Linked DNA regions of Arabidopsis thaliana. The protein of the gene in region 2 interacts with the protein of the main gene of each other region in a pairwise test. Each region holds a gene or a part of one and is shown on either strand. Other genes may lie near its edges. The genes, in order: TRB1 and AtPOT1b.

Region 1 (15,799 bases), on a different chromosome or scaffold from region 2:
AAAATAAATACAGAGCGCAATAAATAAATAAAACAGTTAGGCCCAAACTATAAAGCCCATTGATATGTGTTTTACGAAAATAAAAGGTATTCTGCTTATCCATTCCATGTTTGAATGCGGAAAAAAAAACAAGCTACCCATTTGCTGCTTTCAAGGTAGTAGTTACTAATGACGACCTATTGTTGTTTGGTTTTAATCTAAAAGTGAAAGCAGAGGAAGTTACAAACAGAGTGGAGAATCTTTAGAGGAACTGCGTGCTGATAGAAAAGAAGCCTCCGACTTGCGTTCAAAAGCAGCGGTCTATAAAGCATCTGTCATATCGAACAACGCATTTACTGTAGGAACTTCAAAGACGATAAGGTAATCTATTGTTTCCTGCTTACAATGCTTGATATGATAATGATGTTCAGATGAATTGACACATGATCTAACACTATAATATGTCAACTACTGTGAATGTTTAATTCCTTTGGAGTGCTCGTCGAGTCTATGGATGACACCGATGCTGACTCATTAAAGAGTGCAGCTGAGCATTTGATAAGCACATTGGATGATCCAGTCGTTGTGGTACTAGGTTCATCTCCAGAGAAAGACAAGGTTAGTTTAGTTGCTGCATTTAGTCCTGGAATAGTCTCCCTAGGAGTTCAAGCAGGAAAATTATTGCCCCCATAGCTAAGCTCTGTGGCGGAGGAGGTGGTGGAAAGAAAGCCCGAAAATCTCTCAAGTGCCTTAGAGAAAGCTCAGGAAGATCTCGTGGCAACTCTATCCGAAAAGCTAGGGTGAAGCACAACTTCAAAAGTGAACTGCATGTACAGAGAGAAGGAAGAGCACATAGCTTGATTCTAGACAAGTGTATTGCATGTATAGATGATGGACATTAAAGATATTTGATGTATCTAGTTTTTGAACATTAAATGATCAATGACATTTCTTTTAATGAATGAAGGACTATGTTTCGATTTGCTTTACTCATTGAACGTCGTCCCAACGGTTTTGGACGTATTACAAAACGTGAATTTATAAATTTGTGTATATTTAACATAGCATTATATATAGCAAGTTATGAAGGTGAATGTCATGCTTGCTATGCGCGTAGAGAGCTTTTGATGAGGGTGAGGTGAAGTTGTTGGCAGTTGAGACGACCGCGCTTTGACTGTGTTGGGTTGTGTCACCGGAGTTACTGATGCGGTGATATGATTGTAAGGACTAATGATATGTGGTTGAAGTTTCGGTTCCGATTCAATTTGAAGTAATTGTTTAAAACGTTATTTTTCAATAATTTCAGATTGCATAAAACTCGGTTTAATATATTATTTTGGGTACAAATCGGATTAAAAAGGGCAAAACAAAATATATAATGCTTTCAACAATGTACTCTCTTTAACAAAAAAAAAATCTTTTTTATGTCTTTTTCCAATAACTTGTGAATACAAAAGCGACTATCGTTTCATCATAAAAATATGTGTAGTTATATATTGGTCCTTACAAAAAGCGGTAGAATATAACATATGATAATGCTATCATCACATTTACTAAAGTTAAAGTAATAAATACTTAAATTGATGACAATTTATTCCATTAAATGTAAAGAGATAAAATTCTTCCATTTCTAGTGTCATTTCCAAATTTTATCAATTTACACTAGATTTTAAGTAGCTATTAGAGTAGTTTTTTTTTTTTATATAACATCTCATTCATTTATTGATTTCAAATTGAATACAAGAGTTTATACATTCGTAATACATCCACAATAAAAAGTAGTATTTACTTTTTAAAATTAAAGCTGATGGTTTTTAAATAGTTATAAACTATAACATGATTTAAATAATAACCATGGTTAGTAAATAAATTAAAACGTTGAGAAAAGAAAGACGTAAACAAGTTAAGAAATGAATGAAGCGATTGAGTAGGCAAAGATCAAAGAAACAAAGCAGGACGTATGTAAAATTTAAACAAGCAACCGAGTTAAGCAAATGAAAGCAAACGAAACAAAGAAGAGAGCAAGTAAAATAAGTTAACGATGTAAATAAAGAAACAAGCAATGAACTAAGAAGCAAATATACATGAATGAATGTATGTATGTATGTATGTATGTATGTATGTATGTATGTATGTATGTATGTATGTATGTATGTATGTATGTATGTATGTATGTATGTATGTATGTATGAATGTATGTATAAATGAATGTATGATTGAATGTTTGAATGTATCTATGAATGTATGTATGAATGAATGTATGATTGAATGTTTGAATGTATCTATGAATGTATGTATGAATGTATGAATGTATGAATGCATTGGCGGATCCACGTTAAGGAAGGTGGAGGCACCTGCCACCACTAATATCTAAATTAACAAAAAATTAGTACTAAACAAATTAAGTGGCATGGCCAAATGGTTTCATATCCTTCAAATTTTCGCTAGAAACCCATGTTCGATTCATCCCTATAACATTTTGCCCCCACCAACTTTTTTTGCTGGGTCCGCCCCTGTATGAATGTATGTATGTATGTGTATATGTATGTATCTATGTATGCAAAAATGAATATATGCATGTGTACATGAGTGGGCGCATACATGCAATGGTTGGGATATCACGCTGTCAAGGGAAAGACAACATTGTCAATGTAATTGGTCTATACCTGTTTTACTCACCACATAACTTCTTTTAATTCACAAAGTTTGTTGGCTATGAGATCGGCTCCTGCATAAAAATGAAAGAGATGATAACTTCAAGTTATAAGAGAAGAAACGAAATACTTGTATATATAGGTAATATCAAAAAAATAAAGTTACTGGAAACTATAATAGCTAAACCGAAAGATTATTGCAGAAAAGATTGGAGTAACATACTAGGGAAAGGAGTCAACCTAAGAAACGATATACGTTAATTATGTCCGAAGTTGCAGTATACCTGAAATAAGCAAAACGATGTCTGAGAGATAAGCGACATAATGTGTTTCTGATTTAAGAACACAAGAGAAACAAAGACCCCAATAAGTTCTTATCGAATTACCATTCAAAAGATTTGATATTTTTCCACAAGTCTGTTTCTTGATCCAATTTTTGGCTTTTCTCTAGAACTACATCTCTTATGTTTCATCTCTTAGCTACGAATTGCAGTGCTTTAAGTGCAAAATCTAAAACAATATACACGTGAAATAATGTACCATCAGTGCAAATATATACAAGATGACCTACCAAGTCGTTCGTACGATTAAAAAGTTGTCCTATGCATAATGAAAAATCATGGGATCAAGAAAATGAAAACTTACAGGTGGAAATTCGTGGATGGTTGATTGTCTTATAATACTCGAAGATGAGTTCTTCTAGAATCTTCTGGCAATGCTTCTAGCTTGTATAAAATGTTTGATACAGAGTGTACAGGATAATAACCCTTCTACAAACATAGTTCCATTGATCTGAATGTATATTCATTCACGATAAGTTAAGAAAATTATATATTATATGATTTGGTATAGTAACTGTAAATTACATTAAAATGACAACTTACAAGTGGGAGTTCGTGGTTGGCGGATCGTCTTATTTTACACCAAGATGAAGTTCTTCCAGAAACTTTCTGGCACTGCTCATAGGTTCTAGAAATTGAATGATCAGAAAATGCAGTATTCAGTCGTTTAACCTTCTGCCAGAAAATTCATGACCCTCTTGGCTCAGAAGCTGGTTGCAAGATTACGCCAATATCTCAAACCCTGAATAACTGAAACCACCAAGTAAAATATTTAGATACAAACCAGAATACCTTGTTTAAATCTTGGTATATATATAAGCCCTAAAAGCTAATTAATGAAGAATTATAATAGATTTCGATCCTTGTATTTCCAGTAATGTTCTTCCTTTATTAGTTTACAGAGAAACTACTAGCTTTGTTGTTCCTGGCATCCAAATCTACATTAGATATTTCCTTCACGGATGATTAGAAGTCCTTCCACATCATCTAACTCAATTGCAAACCTCAGTTTTTCAAAGTGCTAACGTACGTTGTTTTGTATTATAACATTAAGTCAGCGCTTAATCATCGACTCATTCACTTCAAGAAGACTCTGGTTTTGATATACTTGGATCTGTCATATGTACCAAAAATATGAATAGATAGATCCAAACGAAGATAATGCCAAAATGTGTATACTATATAACAATCAACCTCAAAGCGATGCCTTAGATTTCTTAGATTTAAAAATTGAGGAAGGCTTGTTATGGCCATGCGACACTGCATTCATATATTTCCCATCGTTGTCCTCGCCCCCATCCAAAATACTTTCCACCTATATCAATAATGAAAATCATAAATAAAGAACATCAGGGCTTAAGCACTCAAATACTTCTATGAGAGCATTTGTCAACTGAGTTGGAAAGGTACTTTTAATGAAATATCATTTGAATGTTGCGATCTCCTTATGTTAGAACCAGCTACATATATTTTCTCCTTACGTTCCTTGATCTGAGATGAACCGAGAGAAGATGTGAGTTAACACAAATACTGAAATCTAGCCAACTTTGAACATTGTAAGCAAACCTTTCGTATTTTTCAGGAGTTTCATCTTTTCCTCAGGCTTCACAACCCAAATTTGGTTATAAGCATCTCCAACCTGACTCTGAAAGAAGGACAAGAATCTCAATATATATATATATATATATATATATATATATATATATATATATGTTTACAACTAGTATGTATGTTTGGGGAAACGCAAGAAAGTTAATGTACTAGCAGGAATTCAACATTTGTATGTTTGAGAGAAGGTAAAGTTGCAGAAATTCAACATTTATATTTCAACGCACCAAAGATTGGGCATATTGCGTTTATAAAACAGTTATTAGAAGCAAACCTTTGCTTTGAAAAGGTTATTCCATTTCCTTGTAGCAATTTCAGTAAGACTTCGTCTTTAGCTGCTCTATAGACCCTTAGTTGCATATAAGCCCATCCGACGTTCCGCCGTAACACCACATTTATTCAAATCCATTAGTTCATTGATCATGAGACTTCAGAAATCTGATCAAAACTAAAGACTAGTGAGATTACTCTTACCAAGATCCTAGTGGTTTCTTCTCGACCGTGACCTGAAATTTCTTGCCATGAGATCTCACAGTATTTGTTGTGTCTGGCATCAAAATTTACATCAGATATATCCTTCACGAATGATTAAAATTCCTTCCACATCGAAATCTTGTTGAAAGAGGTTCATCATCTAACTCATTTGCAAACCTCACTTGTTCAAAGAGCTGATCTTGTTTTGTGTCAAAGTGGTCCATCGTCTCACTCATCCACTTTAAGAAGACTCTGGTTCTGAATATACTTGAATCTGTAATATGGTACCAAAACATTGATCAAATAGATAGATCCAAACGCATAGCAAGCCAAGATTATGCCAAAATTTATATATAACAACCAACCTTAAAACGATGCATTAGATTTTGAAAAAGAGGAACCCTTGCTATGGCCATGCAACTCCACATCCATATAGTATCCATCATTGCCCTCGTCCTCGTCCTTATCCAAAATATCTTCTACCTACTAGTCCTGGAAACATAAACAAAGAACATCAGTACTTGAGCACTCAGAACTTCTATGAGAGAATTTGTCAATTGAGTTGGAAAAGTACTTTAATGAAGTTTCTTTTGAATGTTCCGATCTACTTATGTTAGAGCCAGTTGCATTTTTATTTTCTCCTTACCTTTCTTGGTCTGAGATAAATCAAGAGAGATGTAAGCTAACAAATATACCAAAATCTAGACAACTTTGAACATTGTAAGCAAAGCTAACAAAATATGCCTTACCTTTCTTGGCCTCAAATATAATTCCAACCTGACTCTGAAAAAAGGAAAAAATATTAATATATATATACACAACTAGTATGTATGTTTGCATAAACGCAATAAAGTTAATGTACTAGGAGGAGCTCAACATTTGCATGTTAAGAGAAGATAAACTCGCGAAAATATGAAGTTTAAATTTGAGGCACCAAAGATGCATCTTGAGCATACTGCGTTTACAAAACAGGTATTAGAAGCAAACCTTTGCTTTGAAAAGTTTTTTCTTCATTCCTTCTAGCCACTTCAGTAAGACTTCGACAATGCACTTTATGTTTGGCAACTTTTTACAAGCCTTGTTTGCATCTGGCTCTATCACTTGAGTTTCCGATACACGGCTTCAGCTGTTGTAACATCACATTCAAATCCATCAGTTAATTGATCAAGAGAATTCATAAATCAAATCAAAACTAAAGACTAGTGAGATTAGTCTTACCAATATCCTAGAGGTTTCCTTCTCGACCGTGACCTGAAATTTCGGCCATGAGATCTCGCAATCTTTGCTGGTTTTCCATTGAATGCTTCTTCTTGATATATCATCCAAAGTTTAGCTTTAAGAGCTCAACTTGCTCTTTAGTTCTTCCACCTTTTTGCTCAAAATTTCAATCCAATTTTGTCAATTCTACAATCTAATAACAATAACTGAGAGAAACAAGAGAATGGTATCGGTTAGAGTTTATTTACCTTATAGAGATCGATGAGTACATTTTCTAATGATTCTTGAGCTTGTCTCAGCCATACCTTCAACAAACATAAAATTTGCCTGTTATCAAAAAAGATTGTTGTAGTTTTCAGAAAAAAAACAAAAAAGAAGTTCATTGAGTCTTAAGAGTTAGACAACTTACAAGTGACAGTTCATTGTTGGCGGAATGTATTGTTTAACTCTAAGATGAAGTTTTTCCAGAAACTTCTAGCACTGCTTAAAGGTTCTATAAATTGAATGATAAGAAATAATCAAATAAACTTTATCTAGCTTAGTTTATTTGGTCTGACAAGTTAAGACAGTTATAACTTAGCTGATTGGTTGCTCTGAAGGACTTTGAATAGTCCTAGAACGATCTAAAGCAAAGCAAATATTTAATAAACAGAGACAGTTCATGAGCAAATAAGAAAGCAAGTTAAGGATAGAAAATGAGGAAAACAAATTAAGCAAATCAAGTAGTTAAGGAAAAGAAAGTATGTAAGAAATTAAGCACGTAAGCAAGGAATCAAGTTAACCATGTAAGCAAGAAATCAAGTACACAGTGAAGCAAGAAGCTAATGAGGAAGCAAGGAAAAAAAAACTAAGTAAACAAGGAATCAAAGGAAGTAAACGACAAACCACTGAACCTGGTAATTAAACAAGGAATGAAGAAAGCAAAGAATCAGACCAAGAATTAAGGAAGGAAGCAAGCTCACAAGGACTGAAGGAAGTAAGCAACATACCTCTGAAGTTGGTAACAGAACAAGTAATGAAGAAGTAAAATGAGTAAAGCAAACTTGGATTGACAAAAAAAAAAAAAAGTAAGCGAAGAATCAGGCAAAGAATTAAGGAATCAAGTAAGTAAACAACGACTCAAAGAAGCAGAGAAGAAATTATAGATGTGTAAAAGTACGAAAGTATACATATTATACATAAGCGTAGATGTATGTATGTATGTTTGCAATGTAAATTATGTATGCATTTATGTATGTAAGTATGCAGGCATGTATGTATGTATGTATGTATGTATGTATGTATGTATGTATGTATGTATGTATGTATGTATGTATGTATGTATGTATGTATAAATGACTGCATGTATGCATGTATGTGTGTATGAATGAATGCATGTATGTGTGTATGAATGAATGCATGTATGTATGTGTATGCATTTGGTTGAATGATTGCGAACAACCCATAAGAATTCTGTGGCTCTCCAATTTGTTGTTGCAGAAGAAAAGTGACACAACATCAAACTCTTTGCAAAGGAGATAGAGTCGCCAATTGCTCCCTACACCAAAATTTGAGAAAAGAAAGCACAAGATATCAGAGATCAAAATAAATGAGTATGTCAACACTAAAGATGCTTTCACTTATCTGAATTACGACCTAGACGAATCTTATGAAGAGAACACAAATAATGTACAAGTGTCTTCTAAAGTTTTATCACCATTTGGAAAACTATTAGCAAGTTTCAGTATAACTATGCATATGAATCAAAACAACAAACCTTTAAAATTTCGAATGGCAATGACATAAGAAAACAATATGATTTTCCACAACCAAAATGATTTCTAAAAGCTTCTATCAACCAAAGACACAACAAATTAGATCAAAAATGATCGGATGAGATCGCGAAAATTCAAAATCAAACTTATTGGGTTCGCAGAGAAAAACGAACACAAGAAATTTGAGACGGTGGAATTAAATCATAATAAATTCGATTGAAAACCACAAACCTCCGTCACCGCCTCCGTAATCCACCTCACGGCGGCCACCCACCACCACCACGGTCTCATCCACTGTCGCTTCCTTTAAAGAGTCCTGTTCTCGTCACAAATCATAATCCTCTTGATCCCCCAGTTTCGCGATCGCTAGACGCTAGTGATCTGTCAAACCCAAATCAAACAAATCAGGAGTTAGAAGGTATTGAAAGCAATGAAATGACAAAATCATTTGATTTCTAATAAAATCAAGAAGATTAACGTAACGATAAGACAAATTAAGTAACAAGAGACATAGTAACAGCAAATCGAATCAAGTAGCAGAGAAACACAAATCAAAAACAGACTCGTAATCATCGGAATTCACTCGACTAAAATCCAGAATTCGAGAATCTCTGACCATTAAATCGAATAACGTGAGAGAACGCAATTTCTAGATTCTAGTCGCTGGTGGCATAAGCAGGGTCGCCGGAAAAGCACCGCTTCTCAAAATTTACAGACATTTTTTGAAATGGAGAATTTAGGGGTTTTAAAATATTAGAGAGATCAGAGAGGAACTTGTAGATGATTGTCTTCTAACAGACTATTTAACAAAATTCAATTTTGGAAAAACAAAAATGCCGCCCATTTCGAGAATAGAATTTTGAATTTTATTTTTTGACACGTCACCGATTGTAATGTGTGAAATGTTTAACGTTAACAGCCCAAAATTTAACCCAAGATTTTAAAATTTTGGTTTAGTAACAGCCTGAAATGTTTTTGGTTAAAGCTTAACCATGATGTAATTACCGTGCTCCGTGAACAATTTTGGATTGACTCGGTTTGGTTCTAATCCTATGTTGGCTATGCAGTGACTGTGAGTGGCATAGTATTATTTTCTTTACAGAATCACAATTATAGTAAAAATACCATGGTCTTTTTATTTTTAATATCAATGATTACAAATTATTTTAGTATGTCAAATTTCGGATGATTATATATATATCTGTCAATCACCTAATAATCCCAACTACATATATAATCGGGAGAAATTGTTAGGAATGCCCTTTCAAACTACTCCTTTTCAATTCTATCATTTTTTGTAATTTATTTTCATTTATCCCATCTTTTGATTTTTTATGGTCATTTTACTCTTATTTGAAAATATTTTAGGTTTAAAAAATATAATAATGATTTTTCCTATCAAAATTATTCCGAAGATAATTTTTCGACCAAAAAAATCCGACAAAAATTTTCCCGCCAAACTTTTTTTTCTTCCAAAAGATCATTTTCCCCAGAAAAAATAATTTTAATAGAAAATAGATTTACAAGAGTTTTTAAAAGATTTACAGGGGATTTAAAAGGATTTAATTCCTTTTCTGAACCCGAAAACGATCCATATAGTGTCCCAAAGTCATTGTGCTTTTATATCTTAAAAAAACAGTACTACTATTAATTGATAATACATACATAATCAAAATGCTCATTGGCGATAAGCATGATAGTGCATAGATAGATCGGTCTATAAATTATACACATTACTAACGATAGTTGTATGTATATTGGAGAGTGAGAAGAGCCAAATAAAACATTTTTTCCCAAAAGTTGTGCAGGAATCAAAAGAGTCAGAGCGACGACATACTGACAAACATATTTGATTGCTTACTACTAAAAAACAACTTCCCAAGTAAAGAGAATGATCAACACAAACACTAGGCTTCTCTCTACTCTCTCTTCACATTTAGTCTCCTTCTTCTCTCGCTTTCCATTACCTCAGGCACGGATCATCTGTCGAATCACATTTTCAACAAAAGCATTTTGAGATTTTCAAAGTTCTCTCATAGATATAATGTCTTGTGATATAAAAGAATATGGGTGTTTTTTTCTTTTTTTTACCATTTTGCAGATGTTTCTTCCTTTCAATGTCTTTGAAGCTTCCTCAGCGAAAGCTTGAGCTGCTTCTGCTTCGGCTTCTGCTGCCTCCGCTTCCTTTGCAGCTTCCTCAGCCTCTGCCATGGCAGCTTCTGCCTCTGCTACTGCCTGTGCTGCAACTGCTGCCGCCTCATGTACGTTCATACTCTTCATTCTGGCTATCTCTGTATCAATCTGTGACCTTGTCTGAAAATTCACTTCATCTATGTCTGTTTTAGGTGAAGGCAAAGAAGAAGTCCTCTGTTTTCCTCCAAACACCCCCAGACCTTTTCTCCTGTGGGAAGACAAGGGAGTGGAGTTTGGAATTCTGTACTTACGTTTAACCTGTAAAAGAGAAAGCCCAGATCAATAAACCTCGCAAGTTGCAGTGAATAATGGATATGTCTCTGTTCTACTGACATCCATGAACTAAATTGATTTGCACAAAAAGTCATACATACTATTCAAAAGACCAAAAATATATGCACTCAAAAGCATTAAATGAATGTAGGAATTCTTACCTTCACAAGTTTCCCGCAAGATGTCAAGTACTTTAGCTTGGTAGACAACAAGCGTTTGAAGTCTGGTGGAGCATGATATTGATCCTACACAAAAAAAAAAAAGGAACACGGGTACAGTCAGTCCTCTAAATCAGTCTTTTACAAGGAACTTAGACAAAGAATCTTCAAAGCAGTAATCGTACAAGTTGAACTCAATATTTCCCATGCTTGAATCACATAAGTAGACGAAAATATTTATGTCATTGGCGTGTTTCTGAATTAACTACAGAATCTACTCTTACGATATTCTCATAATTATATCGACTTAAGTAGATGCCACCACAATAAATCTCGTAATTACAGAAATATTTCTAGCCCTTTCAGCTTAGTTTCAGTCAGGATATTCAATGCACATTCGTCTATTCAGGAGAGGAGAAGATAAAGATGTCACCCATTGCCTTGCAATAAAACTGCCACATCCGTTGCCTATATTGATATTGAGGAATATATTCTATTGACACAACCAAAGGCTATATTTTGGTTTTCATCCGCAATGCTTCACAGGTTCTAGTTGACAACATATCAACCCACTGAGGATCATTCAAATTGAAATGTAACACGATGCGATTTAGCTGAGAGTAACAATTTAATAATACATATTGTCTATGAGAAAAGAAAAAAAAGATGCAAGAACGAAAACAGAATACCTCAATGTAGGCACCAATTGTTGTTTTGTTACAGCCACCAGGTTCTTTCAGGGTAGCTATTGCTTCCATTATAAGGCTATCCAACCTGCAACGTTTTTAAAAGTTACAATTTGTCTATAATAAAAGATTTGAGTGATACAAACATCTACGTGTAAGTGGGACTTTACAAATCCTCATCATAATTTCACAATTATAAAGCCACAGTGATAGGATTGAGCAAACGGCTCGCATGATAATAGTAAGAAGGAGGAGAAATGTACTAAGCCAGTGAAGACAACTTAAACAGAGGTGTGAAAACAAACCCATATCACATGAATGTAATCCAACACTTATCGACTTGCACAGAATAAAAAGTGACGGCAAACCATACATTTTGAGATGTAATCCAACTTCAGAAATACCAGCGAGAGAGATACAACAAAGCAACTCCTCTTCAATACAAGAAACAAAATAGACACATTTCTAACCTTACATTAGGTCTCCTTGGAGGAGGATTAGAAGAAACTTGGAGTCCAGAGGTCGCATCCACATTTTCTTCATCACTTTGCAAAGAATTGGTTAGGGCTAGTGAGTTCTCTTCCTGTTTAGGAAGGGAGAACGTCCTTTTAACAGCTAACCTAGACTTTTCGCGCGATCCCCAGCCATTTGCCATGACACTCATGTTTCTCCATTTGTCCTGTCCCAATACAATAAACAAACCATCTCCCAGTCAGATAAAATCACAAACAAAATACAGTAGCATTATCAAAGCTGACAAAAAGGATAAGAAGTAATCATGACCTTAAGATCAACATTGGAACGCAGGTACAAGACTCCGCTAAATTCAGGATCTTTGAGAATTGTGCGCCATTTACCAGGTCCATGCTTTATAACTCCAGACTTTAAAGCTGACTCTTCTTCTTGAGTCCATTTCTGCTTAGGAGCACCCATCCCGATTTACGGTCTGCTGTGTCAAAGCAAGTCCGTTCTGCAACAATACATATCAAATGTCACGAAACCAATCAGAACTAAAGTTTCTACATAAAAATGTAAACTTTTTCTTCAGTTGTAGCTCACAATTCATCATCAAATACCACAGAATAGTAAAACCCTAATTCCCTGTTCCGAGGAAACCCTAACATAGATTATCAAACTATACCGCAGCAATAGTTCAGAAACTAAGACGCAATAGCAAACACCAACTTCACATCACTGAAAGATGCCGAAACTCAAACCCTAGAAAAATCCGTTCTTTCAGAATGAAGCCTAATCTCATGCTGAGAATATACACAATCGAGAAAGAAGAAACAGATGAATTCACCAGGAATCAGAGTTTAGAGGAAGAAGAATCGATCATTCGCAATACCAATTTTTGTTTAATCTCTGGATTCAGATTTCGAGACGCTTGGGAAGCAGAAAAAGTTAGGGTTAATGCGAATACAAGGATTCAGAGTAACGGACCTCCGTCAATTCTGATGCGGCAAACCGCTTAGACCAATTAAGCTTTAAACGCGTTTTTTCACAAACGGCCTTAAAACGCGTTTTTTACAAACGGCCTTAAAACGCGTTTTTGTTTACGCTAGTTATTATATTCTGAAGATTATAAATTGTCTAAATATTTACAAATTCAACTTTTAATAATGATAAAGAAAATATCAAATTCCCCAAATGAAGTGTTAATATGATTGTCAAGAAAATATATTATCAAAACTAATACGCAGTGACCCAGATCATATTTACACGAACAATTTGGTTTATGTTTGAAAGTTTTGGTGGTGATTAAAAATTTGATGATTAAGTGGTATTTTGAACATAAAATACAAATATGTTGCTAGATATAATTCAGAAATGTGTGGTGGGGTGGTAGTTGTGATATTTTTTTTCAAAAATGCTATTTTCATTTTATCCATAGAATTTTCTCTATTGTTTATTTTTTCTGAAAATTATCTAGTTGACTGTACCACTAATTAAAAAAAAATTGTGGACATGGTAGTTGCGATATTTTGAGAGTTTTCCAAATCTATACACTTGTTTTAAACACATTAAAAAGTTTTATAATTTATTTATTTTTGAATTTCTCCAAAATTTGAAATATAAAGATCATTTCGTAAAAAAAAGAAAAGTTCGTTGAACATAGTTTTAGTTGATTTGTTTTACTAGGTTTATTTTCTGCAGATGTTCAGTAAAAAGAAAGAACCTTCTCTAATTTCACCTAGATATTTATGATTTTATAATACAAACTAATTTCATATTTGGGTTTAAATTAATAATTGTCCAAATAATTTCAAATTACAGTCAAAATAAAACATTAGCAATTAGTTCCATCCAAAATAAATTATTAAATTACCAAATTAACATTTTTAGCTCATGAGCCCAAAATTATTTATGATATGAAATATGTACTTGATAATAATTCAAGTCAGCAACAATAATTCATCAAATTTATTTCAAAATAAACCTCCTTAAATCTTTCTGGATTTTTTAACTGATAATCCTATTGTTTTATCTTATTTTCATTAAGCCAACAATAAGTCATACCAATTAGTCATTAGTTATAATTCTTGATATTGGTTAAAGAGAATGTTTAAGTGGTGGATGGAGTTAGTTGTATACTTTTTTGGCATTAAGATGAGAATAATTTGCTACTTATAAAGACTTTGTAATATTAAACATCATATTCTTCACATGAATATACAAGTGGACAATTCTGGTTAAGTCACACCAGTGGTTTAATCCGGTTCATTTTTCTACGTATAGCATTAGTGTTAATTACGTGCACGAGAACACAAGACAGAAAGTAAAAAAAGCAAGAAAGAGTCAACAAAGTTGCCCGCCTAACGATTACTTAGCACTTTTGAATCCGTTTTAAGCAAAGCCTTAGTTTGAATTTACAGCTCTCATCACAAAGAGAGTAGCCCTTCTCGAAGCGAGTGAGATATGGCAACAAAGACCGATGATTTTGCACCATTTCCAGTTAAAGATCAGCTTCCCGGAGTCGAATTTTGTGTCTCGAGCTCTCCAAATTGGCGTATGCTTTTTTCTTTTCATTTAGATTTTGTTATATAGTTGTGTTCTATTAGCAGTAAAATTATGTTTAGTCTTTAGGATAATGAATTTATGTTTCACCGATAGTGATGAACTATACGATTTAGTTTAAATTAGGGTTGTATTTCTTATTAATCTACAAAACTCGTTTTTAAAGCGTTTGTGATTATTTAACAAAAATTTCAGTTGAAGCGTTTCCATTATTCATATGAGTTATTTAGTCGATCGTCACCAAATTCTCTTTGATTTGTCAACAATATATGTTTGAGAAAATGATATGGTTTTATATGATTAATGGTGCAGCGGAAGGAATAGTTCTTGGGTTTCAACATTACATTGTAATGCTTGGAACTACTGTAATCATACCTTCCATACTCGTCCCTCTAATGGGTGGTGGCGACGTAAGCATTAACCCTAATCTCATCTAATAGCTCAAATTCACGAGAAGAAAACTCTTTCTAAATTAAATAAATTGATGTGAAACGACGTCATTTTTCTTCAGGTGGAGAAAGCGGAAGTCATAAACACAGTATTGTTCGTGTCAGGAATAAACACGTTGTTGCAGAGTTTGTTCGGAAGTCGACTTCCTGTGGTCATGGGAGCTTCTTATGCTTACCTCATCCCTGCTCTTTACATCACTTTCTCTTATCGATTCACTTACTATCTCCATCCTCATCTCGTTAGTCACACAATCCATTGTCTTCTTCTTTGAAAACATTTAAAGTTTCAAATTAGTCGAAAACAGTAAATTAATGAATGTGTTAAATGCAGAGATTTGAAGAGACTATGAGAGCTATTCAAGGAGCTCTTATCATTGCTTCAATAAGTCATATGATAATGGGTTTCTTCGGTTTGTGGAGAATCTTGGTCAGGTCCGGAGAAAAAAAGATAAAAAGCTCATGTGTTGTATTATATATTATTACTTGTGGAAGAAGTAACTAAGACTTTAAGGTTTTGCTTTTGCTTTATTAAAACTACTTCAGGTTTCTTTCTCCTCTTTCGGCTGCTCCTCTTGTGATTCTCACCGGCGTTGGCCTCCTCGCCTTTGCGTTTCCTCAGGTAGACGATTCAAGATTTAACTGCCATAAAGATCGAATTGGTTTTAGGGTTTTTGTTTGTTTGTTGAGGGAGCTTAAATAGTCTTTGTGTTGCAGCTTGCGAGATGTATAGAAATTGGACTCCCAGCATTGATCATACTGATAATTTTATCTCAGGTTTCGGTTAATTTCGTGAGATTTTATATAAAACCTTATCATCTCTGAATTTCTGACAATGGTTGTAATGTTTTCAGTATCTTCCTCACTTGTTTAAGTGTAAGAGATCAATATGCGAGCAATTCGCTGTTCTGTTCACAATAGCGATCGTCTGGGCTTACGCAGAGATTCTGACAGCAGCTGGAGCTTATGACAAAAGACCGGACAATACACAGCTCAG
Region 2 (15,799 bases):
ACCGTTGATCGACGGTAAATTGAGTGAAGAGTTAATCGGAGAAGAGATGATATCTCTGAGAGAAGTGTAAGCTACGAAAGAGGATGGTTTTACGGAGATGAGCTCGTAATCGAACGAAGACGGCGGCGTTGAAGCTATGTCGAAAGGAACTTCTGGAGGAGTTAGAGTCGTCATGTTGGATATGGATTTTGTACGGCGGAGTTGAGTCGCCGGAGATTGTGACGGCGGAATCTCCATAGTCTTTCTTCTTCTTTTTTTTTGTTTGGTTTGTTTGTGAGTTTGTGGCTGATTGGGTTTTGCGAGTGTTTAAAGTAAGGAAGGAGGTCCAATTATTGATCTCTATGATATGTACATTTGTCACTATCTTGTGTTGTATTAATTAGTAAAGAGATACGTTTACTTTATTTGTATTTTCTTAATTATTATGATTGGAATGGAAGATAGTAGGCAAATTACAAAATTTAAGGATTGATTACTATTTTTGATGTGAAGATTAGATGGAAATATATTCGGAAATCCAACCAGCCTAAAAATAGATTTTGATTTAATTATCAAAGTATGATCATCAACACGGTGTCGTTCCGGTTCATCGAACATTCCACTTCTTTCTTCTTGTCTGAAAAATCTAGAAGAGCAGCTATTTGGTTTCTCTATCCGATTCGTCTCTCTCACGCCCTCACGTTTATCCACCTCATCCTCAAACCAAACCACAAGACCTCTTTTTTAAGTAACCAATCACAGAGAGATAGAGAGAGAGAACAGAGTCAATGTCAATGGCGTCTATAGCTTCTTCTTCTTCCACCACCCTACTCTCTTCCTCTAGGGTTCTTCTTCCCTCCAAGTCTTCTCTTTTATCTCCTACCGTCTCTTTCCCCAGAATCATACCCTCTTCCTCGGCATCATCCTCTTCTCTCTGTTCCGGGTTCTCCAGTCTCGGTTCCCTCACCACCAACCGCTCCGCCTCACGCCGGAACTTCGCCGTCAAGGCTCAGGCTGTAAGTTGACTCGCAATGCCATAAATTTCTTGTATTTGCTCCATCTTCTCATTCACTATGATTGTTGTATGAATTCGTTAGCTTGTTATAATGGGATCCGTACTATTTTCCTGCTTCTTATCTCTTAAGGGTTTTGAGATCATTGGATAAAAGACTAAACTTTAAACTTTTTAGAGTTCTGCGATTTGAATTGAGCGACATTTTTGTTACCCTTCTTTCGGGTTTAATTAGGGATGGGAGGAAATGATCTGAAATTAATTAATATGATTCACATTTGGCTCATACACAGAAATCTTTTGAGCCCTGCATAGATAGTGAACACCAGTTAAAGAACATTTTGTGTGGTTAAACAATTCGATGATCGATGACTGACTAGTGTTTATATGTTTTATGAATGCAGGATGATTTACCACTGGTCGGTAATAAGGCGCCTGATTTTGAAGCTGAGGCAGTTTTTGATCAAGAGTTCATAAAGGTACTTTCATTCCATTCAAACCTTATTTAACATGTTAGTTAGTTAAGTGTCATAAGCTAAGGTCAATGCAGTAGAGCAATGTTCTGATAGTAATCGACCTATGAATCATGGTTTCAGGTGAAGCTCTCTGAGTACATTGGCAAAAAGTATGTTATTCTATTCTTCTACCCTTTGGACTTCACTTTTGTCTGCCCCACTGGTTAGTATTCTGCTAAGGAAATAGCTTCAAAACTGAAACTCTCGCCCTCATAGTCACTGAAATTTCCAATTTTTCTTTGCTTATTCTAGAGATTACTGCCTTCAGTGACCGTTATGAAGAATTTGAGAAGCTAAACACCGAAGTATTAGGGGTCTCTGTCGACAGTGTGGTAAGTCAAATTTTTATTTCTCCACCTGAACCAAGAAAGAACATTCTGGTCTCAGCATTTTGAAAAATGGTTTCAAGTATTTGATGTACTCAGAACCTTGGCAAGTGGCAGTCTGATAATCGAATGGAACGTTTTCTTTTGGATAATGGAACGTTTGATTCCATGTTCATGTAGTTCTCGCATCTTGCGTGGGTCCAAACAGACAGAAAGTCGGGAGGGCTCGGTGATCTGAATTATCCTCTTGTTTCGGATATCACTAAATCCATTTCAAAATCGTTTGGAGTGCTCATCCCTGATCAGGTAAACGATTTCTTCTGACATAGTTGCATCATACTTGCATTGAGTCCAATCCACTTGTGTTCTTTCAAGTAACGTATAGCCACTTTGAATCAAAGCATTTTGCTAATATATAAGTACAGGGCATTGCACTGAGAGGGCTTTTCATCATAGACAAGGAAGGAGTCATTCAGCATTCCACCATCAACAACCTCGGTATTGGCCGAAGTGTTGATGAGACAATGAGAACCCTCCAGGTAATAAAGAGAAAAATCACATCATTGAGATAGATAGATAAAGAGAGATTTGTTTTTGAGGTTTAGGGTTTAGATGCGTTATTTGTTGCTTCTTGTGATGTTGTCTTGCAGGCATTACAGTATGTTCAAGAAAACCCGGATGAAGTGTGCCCTGCGGGATGGAAGCCAGGGGAGAAATCAATGAAACCTGACCCCAAGCTCAGCAAAGAATACTTTTCAGCTATCTAGAGGCTAAGATTGAACACATGTTTGGTGAAAATTAGCAATCAGAGTTGTTTTATTCGTCTTTTCAAAGTTGGAGCAGAGTTGTTATTTTTAGCCAAAGAACCTTTGTATCTATCTCATCTTTCTCCTGTTTCTGCTATGTGATTCTCCTTAAATTGAATCAAAAATAAAGAAATCCTTCTTTTCTTTTGCCAATATTTATGTCTTTCACTTGTGTAAATAGTTTATAATAATGCAAAGAGGCAGAGTATTTTGACCATTGCAAAAAATAAATTAGAAAAATATCATGTGAGGTCACAGCTCCCTGGAATTAGATAACTATCTGATTGATTTGTTTAATAAACTTGAGTGCTCATTAAGCTAATCTCCATCTGTAGCCGACAACAAAATTATGTTGTGGTATTACTCGGAATATTCTCCACTCGGATTAATTAAAAAATATCGTACATGATAATTTTCTGGTTAAATAAAAATCTGATACCTTTGACACGAGAAAAAAGTTAAAAACTAGAAGTTATGGATAAAATCAGAAAATAACCAAAAGAAAAGGATCGTTTTGTCATTTCTTGAAAATAGCCCTATCCTTTTTTTCCATTAAACCAAAATGTACAAAGACAAGTGGGGAGTGATAGGGTTTGGTATATACGCGGTTAGCAGTTACCCACATGGTTTATCCACTTCACACATTTAAACCACCCCTACAAAATAATGTTTATCAAAACGACCCCAATACTTTCTTTTGTCTTCTTTCCGCCCTTACCTTCTGATGTTAAACAACTTAATTTCCGCTGTACACTGCTTTTACCAAAAAATAAACTCCCCATAATACATCCTTACGTAGCGGTAGCTACCTCCGAACCCGGTACATAACTTATCCGGTCCACTTCATCCCAAACCAATTTTGATGTTATCTCATCAAACTCCGGTTCATATTCCTATAACATCATTTTTAGAGTACGTACCATCAACAAATGAACCATGTATCGAATGTCTTATATTGGCACGAATATGAGGCTCGAAATATACCTCGAGTTGTCGAACCAACTCTTTAGCGTTTGGAGCTGAGACGATGATTCGACGAGCCATTGGGGATATAAATCCTTCGTCCACAGCCTTATCAATAAACGTTAACAGCGAGTTGTAGTAACCATCCACGTTAAGAAGACCCACCTGTCAAAAATTATTGACCAAAAATAATGTTAGAAACCAAATATCTTTAAATAGTATAAAAGAAAGATTACGACATGGGAAGCTTCCGGTCTCACAATCAGGGGTTATGTAGTCGTACGTCGTGACAACACATCGTTTTTTATATTCAATGCATATATCATAATATTACATGCTCTTAGAATATGTACATTTTAATTTAAAATGAGAATAGTACCAAAAAAGTTTAAGAGGTATAAAGAATCCCAAAAGGAATCTTGTTCCATGTGATTATTCCGACGTAACATATGCAACCATTTGTATCTTCTTCATTCAGTCAAATTAAACCACACATTATATGAATATAAATTCTTTTTAAGGTTTTAAATATGAGAAAAATATATCCAACACGCATATTCCGGTCGTAACTCATAACAATAATGTAAGCTCATATATCATACTTTAAAATGAATTATATAATCCGTAAAAGTTAAACGAAATTTTTTAATTTCCCTGATTACGTACCGGCTTACGGTGGATACCGAGTTGAGCCCATGTAATGACTTCCAGCAATTCTTCTAACGTACCATACCCACCTAACAATTTACCAATAGATTCATTCGACATATTTAGATCTTATCCATTTTTCTAAAGGAAATGAGTTTTATACTTTTATTACATATAAAGAATTGGATTACAAACCAGGAAGGGCAATGAATGCGTCGGCTTGGCGAGCCATTTCAGCTTTCCTTTGATGCATATCGGCCACGGCTTTAACTTCTCCGATGGTCTCACCAGTTATCTACAAATTATTATTAACATAACTTTTAGGTATCTTTATTTATTATTGCCTCTAAAATGTGAACACCGCAAAACATCTTACATATTATATTGCATGGTCTTTTTATTGTGGGTTTAACATATAAAAATATTAGTTGGTCAAGGAGATGTATCGTGAAGGAAACCAAAAAACGCTCCAAGTCTCAATCATTCCTTTTTTGGTCCTACCACTATTTTATGTAGATCATTACAAGGCAATTTCTATCTCAATAATACTATATATATAATACCAAGTCCAACAAAATTGATATTTCATTCAATAGAGCTTTATTTGGTGCATACCTCTCTTGGCATCAAGGTTTTTGGAATGACCCTACAAGAGATAAGTGAATATACCGGTTAAGAATGATGTATATAAAACAAAACTGGTATGGATTTCAATCTACAATTAACTAGAAAGAAATATGAAAATTGGCTATTTTGGTATAGATAGGTCATTGAAACGAGATTCTCTGATAGAACAAACAAACACAGATAATAAAACTAGTTGTAGCTTGAGTTTAGTAAAATAATTTAAAAAGCAAAGAGACAGTTTTGGACAAAGGAAACATGCACAGATCCTTTTTTGTCGTTGTTATGTTACCTCTCTAATGAAACTCAAGTATCTCTTCATATAACCAAAGAAGATTAATCAACTTATCAAATTCTATGCGACAAAAACAATAGGTTAATAGCCATCATGTAGATAGTCATAATCAACGGTCAAATGTTTGAAACACAATGATGATTTATAGCTTACTTCCCTAGCAAATACATCATCATATAAATAGATACATAGAAAGAGAGAGAGAACAAACCCTAGAACATGGCGACCACCATGATGAACAGCTTGAGAGACGAGACCCATAAGCCCCACGCTACCACCTCCGTATACCAAATCAATCCTTCTCTCCACCTTCAACCACATTTCCACCATCAATTTCTTTCATTATTATTATTATTATATTGCATTATTTATGATAACAGAGTTTTCATGATGAAAATGAACACGTGTCACAAACCCAAATCCACAATCGACCCCAAAAAGAAGCAACCACATCAAATATCAAATCTCAATTAAGAGAAAAGGAAAAACAAAAAAATAGCTCATCATCATCATCATCAATCCTAATTTCAATTGTCACCATCCTATTAATACTATTATTATTACCTACAGATCAATCAGAAGAGGGTTCTTCAAATTATTTTATTTATTCAAACAATTTAGTGTCGTTTGAAGAGAAGTACACCCCACAACACACGCTTTGTACATAGAGTCATTATTCTTCCAACGAACATTTTTGTTGGTTTTCATTGCCCCTCGAGGCAATACAAAAACTGTCATTATTATTTATCTTTCCCGTAAACAAAATCATTGGTTTATACTTGGAAACTTAAGTTTTAGGTTTAAGAAAAATCATATGAAACCTCAGACTCATGGAAAAAACAAGATATATGTGTGTAATAATGTAAATCACTGAAAATACAAAAAATTATCTAAAAAAAAGAGGTCATGCAAGAGTGCTGCTCGAGTGACAGGCGGGTTACAGCTAAGCATAGTAGAAATCACTATTTTCTCATCCCTCTCTCTCATGCCAATAACATTAAACCATAACACAAATTCGATTTCACAAAGTAAAAAATTGAAAATCAGCATCCACACGTTTGGTAGATTCATCATTGTTCGTTGCAACACACAATCAAAACCACATAATAGCCAATGTTTCAAAGAAGATTCTGAATTCGTATCTCAAATCAAATCTTCATTTTTGAGTTCATATTATATACCATCATAAAGTTTTGAATCAATCAGCCTTTTGTATCAAACAAACTATCCAAAACGAGAAATCTAAAAAAGCGAAGTATTTACAAATGACACAACAAGATGATTAATAAGTTACTTTTGTGTTGAGTAGTGAAAATGAATGTAATATATAAACTATTAAATATACATATATATGTTAGTGAGTAGAGAAAAAGTTGAAGAGAGAACTTACCAACTCGTTACCCAATTGAATGGCAGCTTCTTGGTATGAAGGTTTTTTGCCGGAACTGCTTCCACAGAAGACACAGATCCTCTTGAATCTCGATTTTGTCTCTTCCATATTTCTCTCTCTTTCTCTTTGTTACTTTGTCTCTCTCTCTCTCTCTCTCTATCTAGAGCTTAAAAAGTTGAAAATTCTATGATTATTATGATGAATGAGACCACACTTTGGAATTGTGTTAGTATTTATATATATATATAGAGGAGAAGTGGGAGAATATAAATGCAAATGCGATTCCCATGCCCTGCCCCCTTTTATTAATTATTACTACTATTCTATCTATATTTTATTTTATTTTGTGTTCTCATCTTGCGAAGAATTAAGTTACTAACTTTTTTTGTATTATTTAATTTGTAGTTTGAATATTCCATGGATACTCTCTAAAACTAGCTAAAACACGGCTTACATATATTTATATCTTATTTATACAGCAAACTTTCTATATAACATTTTTATTATAATATGGTGTTATTACAAATTAAGATTGTATTATAATAGATTTGTTTGAAAAGTCATTTTATGTCTGTATACGGCCGCGATTTATAATATGATCTTCTAATACTTATTTATTTTTGTGTGGAAAGATTAGATTAGATCTAACACAGGTTGGAAGATCTGTTCAGATTGTGTTATCTGATTAGTTCACGACTAACTGGATTCATGGATCATGTTTTTCTTTGAACAATTCAATTTTTCTCAAACTATTAGCTAGTGTCTATCTTACTAAAACTATATGTATCAGATTTTGGTTCAATACAACCAGATTCATGGATCATGTTTTCATTTGAACATTTCACTTTTCCAATAATGTCCATCCGAAGTATTAAATTAGATAACCTTCTTTTTTTTTTGACAAAAAATTAGATGACCTAAAACTTACTATTTTTGCGATCCAGAGCGTAAAACTTGTACCGTAATAATAATTAAGAAAAACTTCTTGTGTGTAGCAGAGTAACATAATTCTACGACAGAAAGTATTCACTTTTCCAGTGATCATCAAACTCTTAGAAAAGAAGTCAATGTAATTTGCTCATTTAATATATTAATCTACGGTACACGTTGTAGATTTGACAACCACACGAAGAAGAAAGAGGTGGTTAGTTTTCTAATCGAGGTTTAGACATTTATATTTATAAGTTATAGCTAGTTGTCTCAGTGATCTGATTTGGTTTCGATTTGGTTCCTTTTTAACAATTTTGGTCTAGATAGATAATGGATAGTCAAATAATAAGTTAAAACAAACTTTGGGATTTTTCGATTCTTTTCATTTGCGGTTTTGAAACTTGGAGTCAAGAAGAAAGTTTAGATTTGCACTGGAACCATATACTATTAATTTGATTACGAAGAAAATGTCAGGAAAAGTTGGAATGATTGAGAAGCGTGATCACTAACAAAAGTCGCAAGACATTCCGGAACTCCAAGCTTCAATGACCCATAATCGAAAAATCTCGACTACAGATTATATTAGACTAATACTGTATGTTTTCTTTCTTTTTTTGGCTAATCAGAGTACTCGGAATAGAAACCATATTATCAATTTTATTTCTATAATTGATTTAGAGTCTGGTGAGGTGTCTCGTAATCACTCTAATCTAGTTCTTCACGTCTTTATCAAATTTCCACCCTCTAAAGCAATAGTCCCTTGATCACATTTCACACCTACATTGTAAATAATAATATATTTATGGTTTGTCACACTTATATTTTTTGTCACCAAATATTTATGTGTATGTATGTATATAAACCGACAATGCATAACGGATATGAAAAATTAGTATTAGATCACCATTATTTACGAAAAACCCATCTACAATTACGTATTTACGTAGTGCAAGGATAGATTTTTTTCATTAGTAAAAGGATATATATTTTAGTTTCCACATATATTTATTAATTGTTGAATAGATAAACAGCTGTTAGCTGATGTAATCATACAACTAATTTGGATGATCCTTACATCGCATCCTTTGACTAAACCCTTTTTTACGTCGCATCAAATTAATTTGGATGATGCTTCTTTTACTTGAAGACCAAAGCAACGCAAACCATTAGAGTACAATTATAGGTTAACAATACAGATTGAATCCTATACCTTTCTACCTTAGTTTTTCAAGTAGGCTAGTCCACGGATGATTTTGTTTTAACCAAGTAAGACATAAGTCATAACTCAAAATCATAAATTCATAATTAGACAGTGATAATGTATGTATCCTCGTAAAGATTTCTTATGAAAGACTTGGAATCCAAGGCTTGGATGCTGCCATTTTTTTTTTTTTGCCAACATCAAGTATCTAAACTTATGGTTTGCATAACTGTCGAACTTATGTTGGATTTTAGGTTACGAATAATGTCAATATTTATATGTTACTAATTATTAAACAAGATCGAAAGACCTTAAAATAAGTATATCGAAGTCGCTTTCGTTAAGATATCACGATGATCAGAGAGATTGTATGAGCTGGTGATACATATAAAATTAGAAAGAAAACGCATACCATCTATCTTTGATCACTTAGATTTAATTATTGGTTAATAAAACGAAAGATACTTCGTTGTTTTTATAATTTCATTAACAAGTTTAAGATACTTCATTGCTTCTAATTATCTTCCATCTTCTTGCTAATTTTCTTTCGAACCATATTATTATATAAAAGTTAGTTTTAAAGTTGCTAACTAAAATGATCAATGTCATATTTCTTGATACAGATTTTGACATATGCAAAAACATCGCAAGAAAATGATACAATATTGATTAAAGATTTTGTCACGACTCATATGTAAACATATTATATAAAAAAATCATTCAATAGATTAGTAATTCTAAAAAGGATTGTTTTAGACAAAAAAATATATATTTCTATACCCAAAGAAACTATACAATTAGTTAGTAATTTCGAAAAAAGATTATTATAATGTTTAAGAAATTTTACTTTGCATAGCCAGAATTTCAGCTGAGGGCCTAGTAAAGTAATCACTCTTATTGAGCTTTTAAGACCCATTTAAGTTACGAAAACCTCCAAACATCCAATTGTATGAAACTCATATCATAGATTTTTTTTTTCTTCTTAATGAGCAACTTGGTAGCGGCGGCCCATTAATCATTATTATTGGGCCTTTAAGACCCATTTGAGTTACGAGAGCTCCTAAACGACTCAGCAAGATTCACCGGAGTGGCACCGGCCGAGTCATCGCATCCATCGCCGTTGTCGATTTCCTTCAAACCCTTGCAAAACCCCAACGATCAGAGACATGGAGGAGGAGAGAAGAGATGACTACAAATTCCTGAGAATTCAAGACGCTTTCAAAGCATTGCATCTTCATGTTAACCTCATTGGAGTCATCGTTGAGCTAGGATTCTCCAATGGCTCTGGTATCGTGATCCTCTCCCAAAATCCTTTTTTGCTATTTCATTTCATCATAGCTTCGTTTTTTCATACTTCCGACTGCTCGAAATTTGTCGCAGATTGTTCATGTACGCTCAAAATCGTTGATCCATGGTATTCGGGATCTGGCCTTCCCGTTAAGTTCGTCGCTCGTACCATTCGAGACCTTCCTCGTGTTGAATCGATCGGAGATATCATCTTACTTTCACGTGTAAAGGTTGACACACTATTCCTCTGATATGAGAAGATCAATTCTTCGTGGCTTTTGCTGATTTTGTTGTTAAACAGTTTTCTTCTGGGTTTAAACTCAGATTGTGCTGATTAACCGGAAAATCACAGCTCTCTGCAATGAAACAACCTCTTCGTCTTTTGCTTTATTCAATGGGAAACATAGCGTGGATTCTATACCTTACCAGTCCTCACCTAAATTCCTGATGAGAGAACAGGATAAGAACTTCTTATCGAATCTGAGAGAATGGATGATCACGTACAAGTTTGAAGATGGTAATTATGATGCAATATCATTTCTAATGAATTCTACTTATTCACTGAAATCTCTATATGCAAATGTTTGCTTCGTACTTTATCTCTAATGTGTTCTATGTCTTGGTGGTAAGTTGCGATTGTTGTGAGGTTTTGTTTTGTTTTGTTTTATGATAGGGTCATGCTGTTTCACATCCCTGAAAGATATCAAAGAAGGCGAATGTTCAAACCTATCTTGCCAGGTAGATTGATCATTCCTTAAAAGAATATGTTTTGGTTTTACTTTTCATGTTCATTTGTATTTATGGAACTGTAAGTGTCTTTTATGGTCTGCTATGTCTTTGACATTGTTTCTCATTGTTTGTTTCCTTTGAAGATTGTTCACATTTCCAAGGTCTATAAAGATAGATGGTACCTCTTTGTTTGGGATGGAACTGAGATGCCACCCTGCAACATCTTGGTTAAGTAAGTCTGAATTTCCTCAACCAAAATACAACGAGTAAAAATAAGTTTCTCTTATGCGTCTTATATTCATTTACTAGATTTTGGTCATATATCCCAAACGTGTTACTCATCTCACTCTGTTTTTGTTTGCAATCATAATAGGTCAGAAAGGCTTCCTTTATGTGTAGAACCCGAGATGTTGCCTACATACATGTTACGTAAGTTTCCTACTTTTGGTTCCGTTTTGAGGATCATAGTAGATAGAGTTAGTGAGAAGCAGGCCATTCACTGTCTTCAACCTGGTCAACACGTGAAGCTTCTGAACCTTTTCTTTCAAGTAAATATGGGATTATGGAACGCCACTTTTACTCCCTCTACAAAGATGCAGTACACAATGAGCAGAGAGATGGAAGCCTTTAGTCCTCAAAGGTTTCTGCTGACACCTTTTCTTATCCTGTGAGTTGATGTTCTGCTTCGTCCGTTTGTTCTTCAGTTTAAAACACACTTTCTTACCATTTCAGAATGTGTGGGGAGAAGTTTTCACCGAGATGGAACCCAATCGCGCGTTGCATTAGTCGTTCACATTCTGAAATCACAGGTAATAACCAGCTAATTGTTTGGAATTGTGGAAATTTGACATAACGTTTAATATAATACTTATGGTTTAATCTTTTCTAGGGGTTGCCCATGACGATGCTCCATTTGTTTCTCTGATGGACATCCTGACCTATCACAATGTAATGTATCCAAAAACCTTGGATTTATCATAAGTTGTAGGAAAAGAGTATAGTGAAAACTTTCTTGAATTGATGTTTTACTGATGCTTATTATGCAGGTGACTGCTAAATTCAGGTGTGTTGTTCGGTTCATACAAGTGTATCCCCGAGACGTCAGAAAACTCCGTGATATCAACGGAAATATCAAATTGGTAGCTATACTAGAAGATGCAACCGCCAGAATCCATGCTTCTCTATATGCTGATGAAGGGGTAAGTAAAACACGATTAATTATTAGTGTTCATTGAAGGATTGTCTAATACTTATATCTGTATATCTTTTTACAGGAAAAGTTTTTCGGGTGTGACGAATCTGATGAAGAGGCTCTAGTCAAGAAGCTGAATAGATTGTTGGGAGGTGAAGAGATGGAGAAAGTGCCAAGAAATCCTCCATGGGTACAATGTTGCTTGTTCTCATTCTACAAACACAAAATGGATCAGTGGGAAAGCAGAAGATTCCGCATTTTTGATACTTGGATCAATGCTTCATGAGACAATCATAATGCTAATTGTATAGTTATTAGCATTAAACAAAATGTGATTATTTATTTACATGGAACCATACAATAAAACATTACATAAGAAAAATATCTCTCTCCAACGATATGTATGGAAGATAATAAAGCAAAACAATCTAAAATAAGAATCAATAAACAAGTGTAATATGATGAACTCGAAGAAGACTATAATAGCATTGACTCTTGACTAGCAATCAAAAGTCAACGTCACACTTGGTCGGCTGAAAAACAAACCCGCTGGTTGAATTAGAGGTAAGAGGAACCTTGAGATCGCACTTGATCTTGGGCTTGAACCTCCACGACTTGATCAACCCAAACTTAAACCTAATCTTAAGTCTCAGCTTGGCATCGATCCTATAGATCTGAGAATTCACATCCTCGTTCAAATCCTTCCTCTCTCCGCCGTCAAGCAGCACCAATTGCTGTCCCACGAGTTTAGTTCCAACCACCGTCGTGTTCTTATGTCCCTGGTAAAACTTCGAGATGTTGTTACTCATACCGAATCGCTGATCACCGTAGTATCCTCTGACTTCGATTTCATCATAGTAAACACCGATCCGGCGGTTAGGGTTACGGATTGTGAAATTGAGATCGAGATTGTATCGGAGGTTGTTGGTTGGGTCGAGTGTGAATTCGGTGAGTTTAGCGTCGGTGACGTGGAATTTGATAGCGTTGGGTCTGAAAATGAGCCAGATGATTAGAGCAGCTATGCCTAATAAGACGGCTATGGTTATGAGGATGTTGAAGATGACGCTTAAGATACAGCAGCCGCAGCAGCCAAGACAGTCACCTAAACAACCGCATCCACCGCCGCGTCTGCCGTGGCTGTGAGAGACTTTCTTCGGCGGTGGAATCGATGGTCCGTAATACGCACCGTTTAAGTCCGCCATCTGTTCGTTAAAATGCCTCAGAGAACGATTTTGAAAGAAAGTTTTTTTTGGTTTGTGATAAGATTTTGAAAAAGTAAATATGATTTGAAGTGAAGAAGAAGAGGCCGTAATATATATACACTGTAGAGATAACGTGTATTAGATAAAACGATTTAATTTGACGCGGTTTTGTTTTTTCAAAGTCAAAGGTGACGCGTCGGTTTAATATTGTTCGATGAAAATTTGATTTAAGTAGAGGTTACTTGCGAGATTGTTATTAGATATTTAGGATTAACAGTTTGATATACATTAAAGATTGTTTCTTAAATTTTACTATATGGTTTCTTCTTCAATTTGACTATGTATACTTTGGTTAAGCTTAATGAGATTATTTCTTGAATCCATATATACATGATTTGGTGATTAATGAGGTTAGTGCCGATCGCATACAAGAATATCCATATGTAGATATTTATTTATATATTCTTTTATTATATAAGACATGTGAGAATGTGATGATACTTAGTGCGGTAGTTAGTTTGTGAATTGTGAATAGTCATTTTTACAATGTAACTAAGCTTCCGAGAAACTTCCCCAAAAGCGACTGCTCTAATATAGCCATTGTTTCTTAAACTTGACGAAAGACTTTTGAGAACAAAAATAGAAAATGTGGCCAAAATATCAATAAGCCTATACAAAGTTAGAAAAAGACAAACCAGTCCCGGTCAAGAATTTCGACATTATATATATAACATGATGAAATGAAATAACTTTGATCTATAGGTTGCAAGTTGAAACTGAGGTGGGGTTTTCCAAATGTTTATTTTATAACTATGAGAACAGTTCTACTGATAAAGGTTATTTAATTAATTATCAATTAATGAAAATGTTTAATGTGAAAGATTTCTCAAATTCAAAGAAAATTAAACATTGCAAAGACTTGTTAATGTTATAATGCTAAAAGCAAGGAAAACTAAGGGAGGTTGGTGTTTAGAGTTGGATGATGTGACCTGTAATTGAAAGGAAGATTAGGTGAAGCCATGCTTTCAAATGTTTACATCTTTCTTCAATGAGAAAGGTCAAGCATATTTAATAAAGAATAATAATACTAGATCGCAACTCAATCATATTAAACTTTAAAACAACTATGGAGGATTTATAAAAACAAATGTAACAACTAAAAAAAGTATTCTTATAATATGAGATGTAATGTGTTTTATTTATTTATTAAAGTAGTCAATGTAGTTTAAGAAATTTTTATGTGTTATACGGTATAACAATAATTTTCATTGTATATGATAAGTAATACACAATAATTTTAAAGAAAAACCTGGTGATGAACAAACGTGTTTGAAAAACTTGTTAGAGTTTAATGCGGTGTCAATGTGTGTGGTGATAAAACATTAAACTAAATTAGACAACAAATATTTCACGAAGACTCCTTCAATCTTAGCCGTTTGGACGAAATAGATCATTGGAATTGGACAAATAAATGATGAAGACTTTGGTTGTTCTTAGGGTTTTGAAAATGGAGGAACCGACGACCGATCCCTATCTACTCAATTCCGATATTCATCCGAATAAATTATTGAGAAATTGCGTTGAATAGATGTCCACTAAAGTTTAAATGGACATATATCTAAGGAAGTAACATATAGGGTATACTTTTCATGTAATCTATTACTAATTCTAATTTGGTGGTTGTCACCATAATTTTGTGTTGTTAATCATTGTTAAAATCTGGAATACAATACGACTCGAAAGTCGAAACTGTATCGTGTTAACCAGTGGACCAATGATACAACTCCATGATTCATTTTACTTACGTTATCCTTTGGTTATGAATGTTTATTCTATGTTTTGGTTATGAATTTCTCTAGATGAACAAAATCGAATCTTTATGTATATATTCAAGTCTTGATCATTTACACGCTTAATAAAATGTATGACTTCAAAAAGGCAAAAAGGGAAGGTTATGTAGACAATTGTGTGTTTTTATCATCTGCTTTTTTACAGTATAACTTCGGTTCCAAACTAGGATTGTATATTCATGGATTGATGGGCGTAAAGTTTCTCATCATGCTGATCAATTACCTAGATTACGTATGGCAAATTTTCAGTACAATGTTTCGAAGATTTTCAATTAAAATTATGTTTATATACAAACTGGATTCGGCAGCGTGTATATGTACAAAGGAAACAAAACACGTGGGAGTTAGTAGATAAATGGGACTAAGATTAAAAAATTGCATAAAAAATCGTTCACAAACACATCAAATATTTGTTGGTGACGAATCTAACGAACAAATTGCGTACGTTATGCTCAAATTGGACCTCGCTCTTATGTACATTTTGAATGTTCTCACATTGGACTTCTTTCTGAAATACATATACATATCGAATATAATAACAATAGCACATGTAATGAATCATTTCGCAAGTTTTCTCTCTTGGAGAAAGTGGATTCCAGATTGAGAATTACGCCTACAAATCTCTTAACAAAAGAGGCAAAATTAGTCGAAGCAGTTGGTTATAAGATGACTTCATTATTAACCCAAAAAATACATAATATAGAATATTCGTGGGATTCGAACGTTGGAGAAAAATACCCTATTTCTTGTAAAATAAGCAACATGATTCTACTTTTTATCATTTCAAGATCCAAGAATATTTAGGAGACAAACTAACCAATATATTAGGAATATAGATTTGATCAAGAGT

The links.
Region 1: the proteins of AtPOT1b (region 2) and TRB1 interact in binary tests that used the Arabidopsis thaliana proteins (3 or more experiments, as listed by UniProt).

The regions. Positions count from the first base shown.
Region 1 is NC_003070.9:18,484,443-18,500,241, forward strand, and holds TRB1 (telomere repeat binding factor 1), read right to left. Parts: upstream 12,877-15,799; 5' UTR 12,687-12,876; exon of another isoform or gene 12,480-12,686; intron 12,309-12,479; 5' UTR 12,272-12,308; coding exon 12,122-12,271; intron 12,018-12,121; coding exon 11,809-12,017; intron 11,427-11,808; coding exon 11,342-11,426; intron 10,740-11,341; coding exon 10,656-10,739; intron 10,480-10,655; coding exon 10,120-10,479; intron 10,012-10,119; coding exon 9,997-10,011; 3' UTR 9,629-9,996; downstream 1-9,628. Other genes in the region: AT1G49930 (alanine-tRNA ligase), read left to right, coding at 490-597, 678-850, 947-1,011, 1,139-1,197; AT1G49940 (uncharacterized protein), read right to left, coding at 4,219-4,289, 4,541-4,619, 5,057-5,158, 5,239-5,330, 5,458-5,535, 5,806-5,839, 6,044-6,176, 6,275-6,378; AT1G49960 (Xanthine/uracil permease family protein), read left to right, coding at 14,258-14,348, 14,669-14,766, 14,868-15,044, 15,137-15,237, 15,349-15,424, 15,520-15,579, 15,657-15,799. UniProt on the Arabidopsis thaliana protein: Binds preferentially double-stranded telomeric repeats.
Region 2 is NC_003076.8:1,918,613-1,934,411, forward strand, and holds AtPOT1b (Nucleic acid-binding, OB-fold-like protein), read left to right. Parts: upstream 1-9,730; 5' UTR 9,731-9,855; coding exon 9,856-9,976; intron 9,977-10,069; coding exon 10,070-10,206; intron 10,207-10,300; coding exon 10,301-10,493; intron 10,494-10,649; coding exon 10,650-10,714; intron 10,715-10,848; coding exon 10,849-10,937; intron 10,938-11,078; coding exon 11,079-11,345; intron 11,346-11,437; coding exon 11,438-11,514; intron 11,515-11,594; coding exon 11,595-11,653; intron 11,654-11,751; coding exon 11,752-11,904; intron 11,905-11,979; coding exon 11,980-12,183; 3' UTR 12,184-12,339; downstream 12,340-15,799. Other genes in the region: AT5G06280 (uncharacterized protein), read right to left, coding at 1-237; 2-Cys Prx B (2-cysteine peroxiredoxin B), read left to right, coding at 768-995, 1,396-1,470, 1,588-1,669, 1,759-1,838, 2,013-2,138, 2,258-2,371, 2,483-2,599; LOG7 (Putative lysine decarboxylase family protein), read right to left, coding at 3,430-3,531, 3,623-3,766, 4,268-4,338, 4,445-4,544, 4,865-4,895, 5,380-5,477, 6,559-6,666; NHL3 (NDR1/HIN1-like 3), read right to left, coding at 12,404-13,099. UniProt on the Arabidopsis thaliana protein: Negatively regulates telomerase activity and participates in chromosome end protection. Binds RNA non-specifically. Associates with a regulatory Pol III-dependent lncRNA, which represses telomerase activity in response to DNA damage.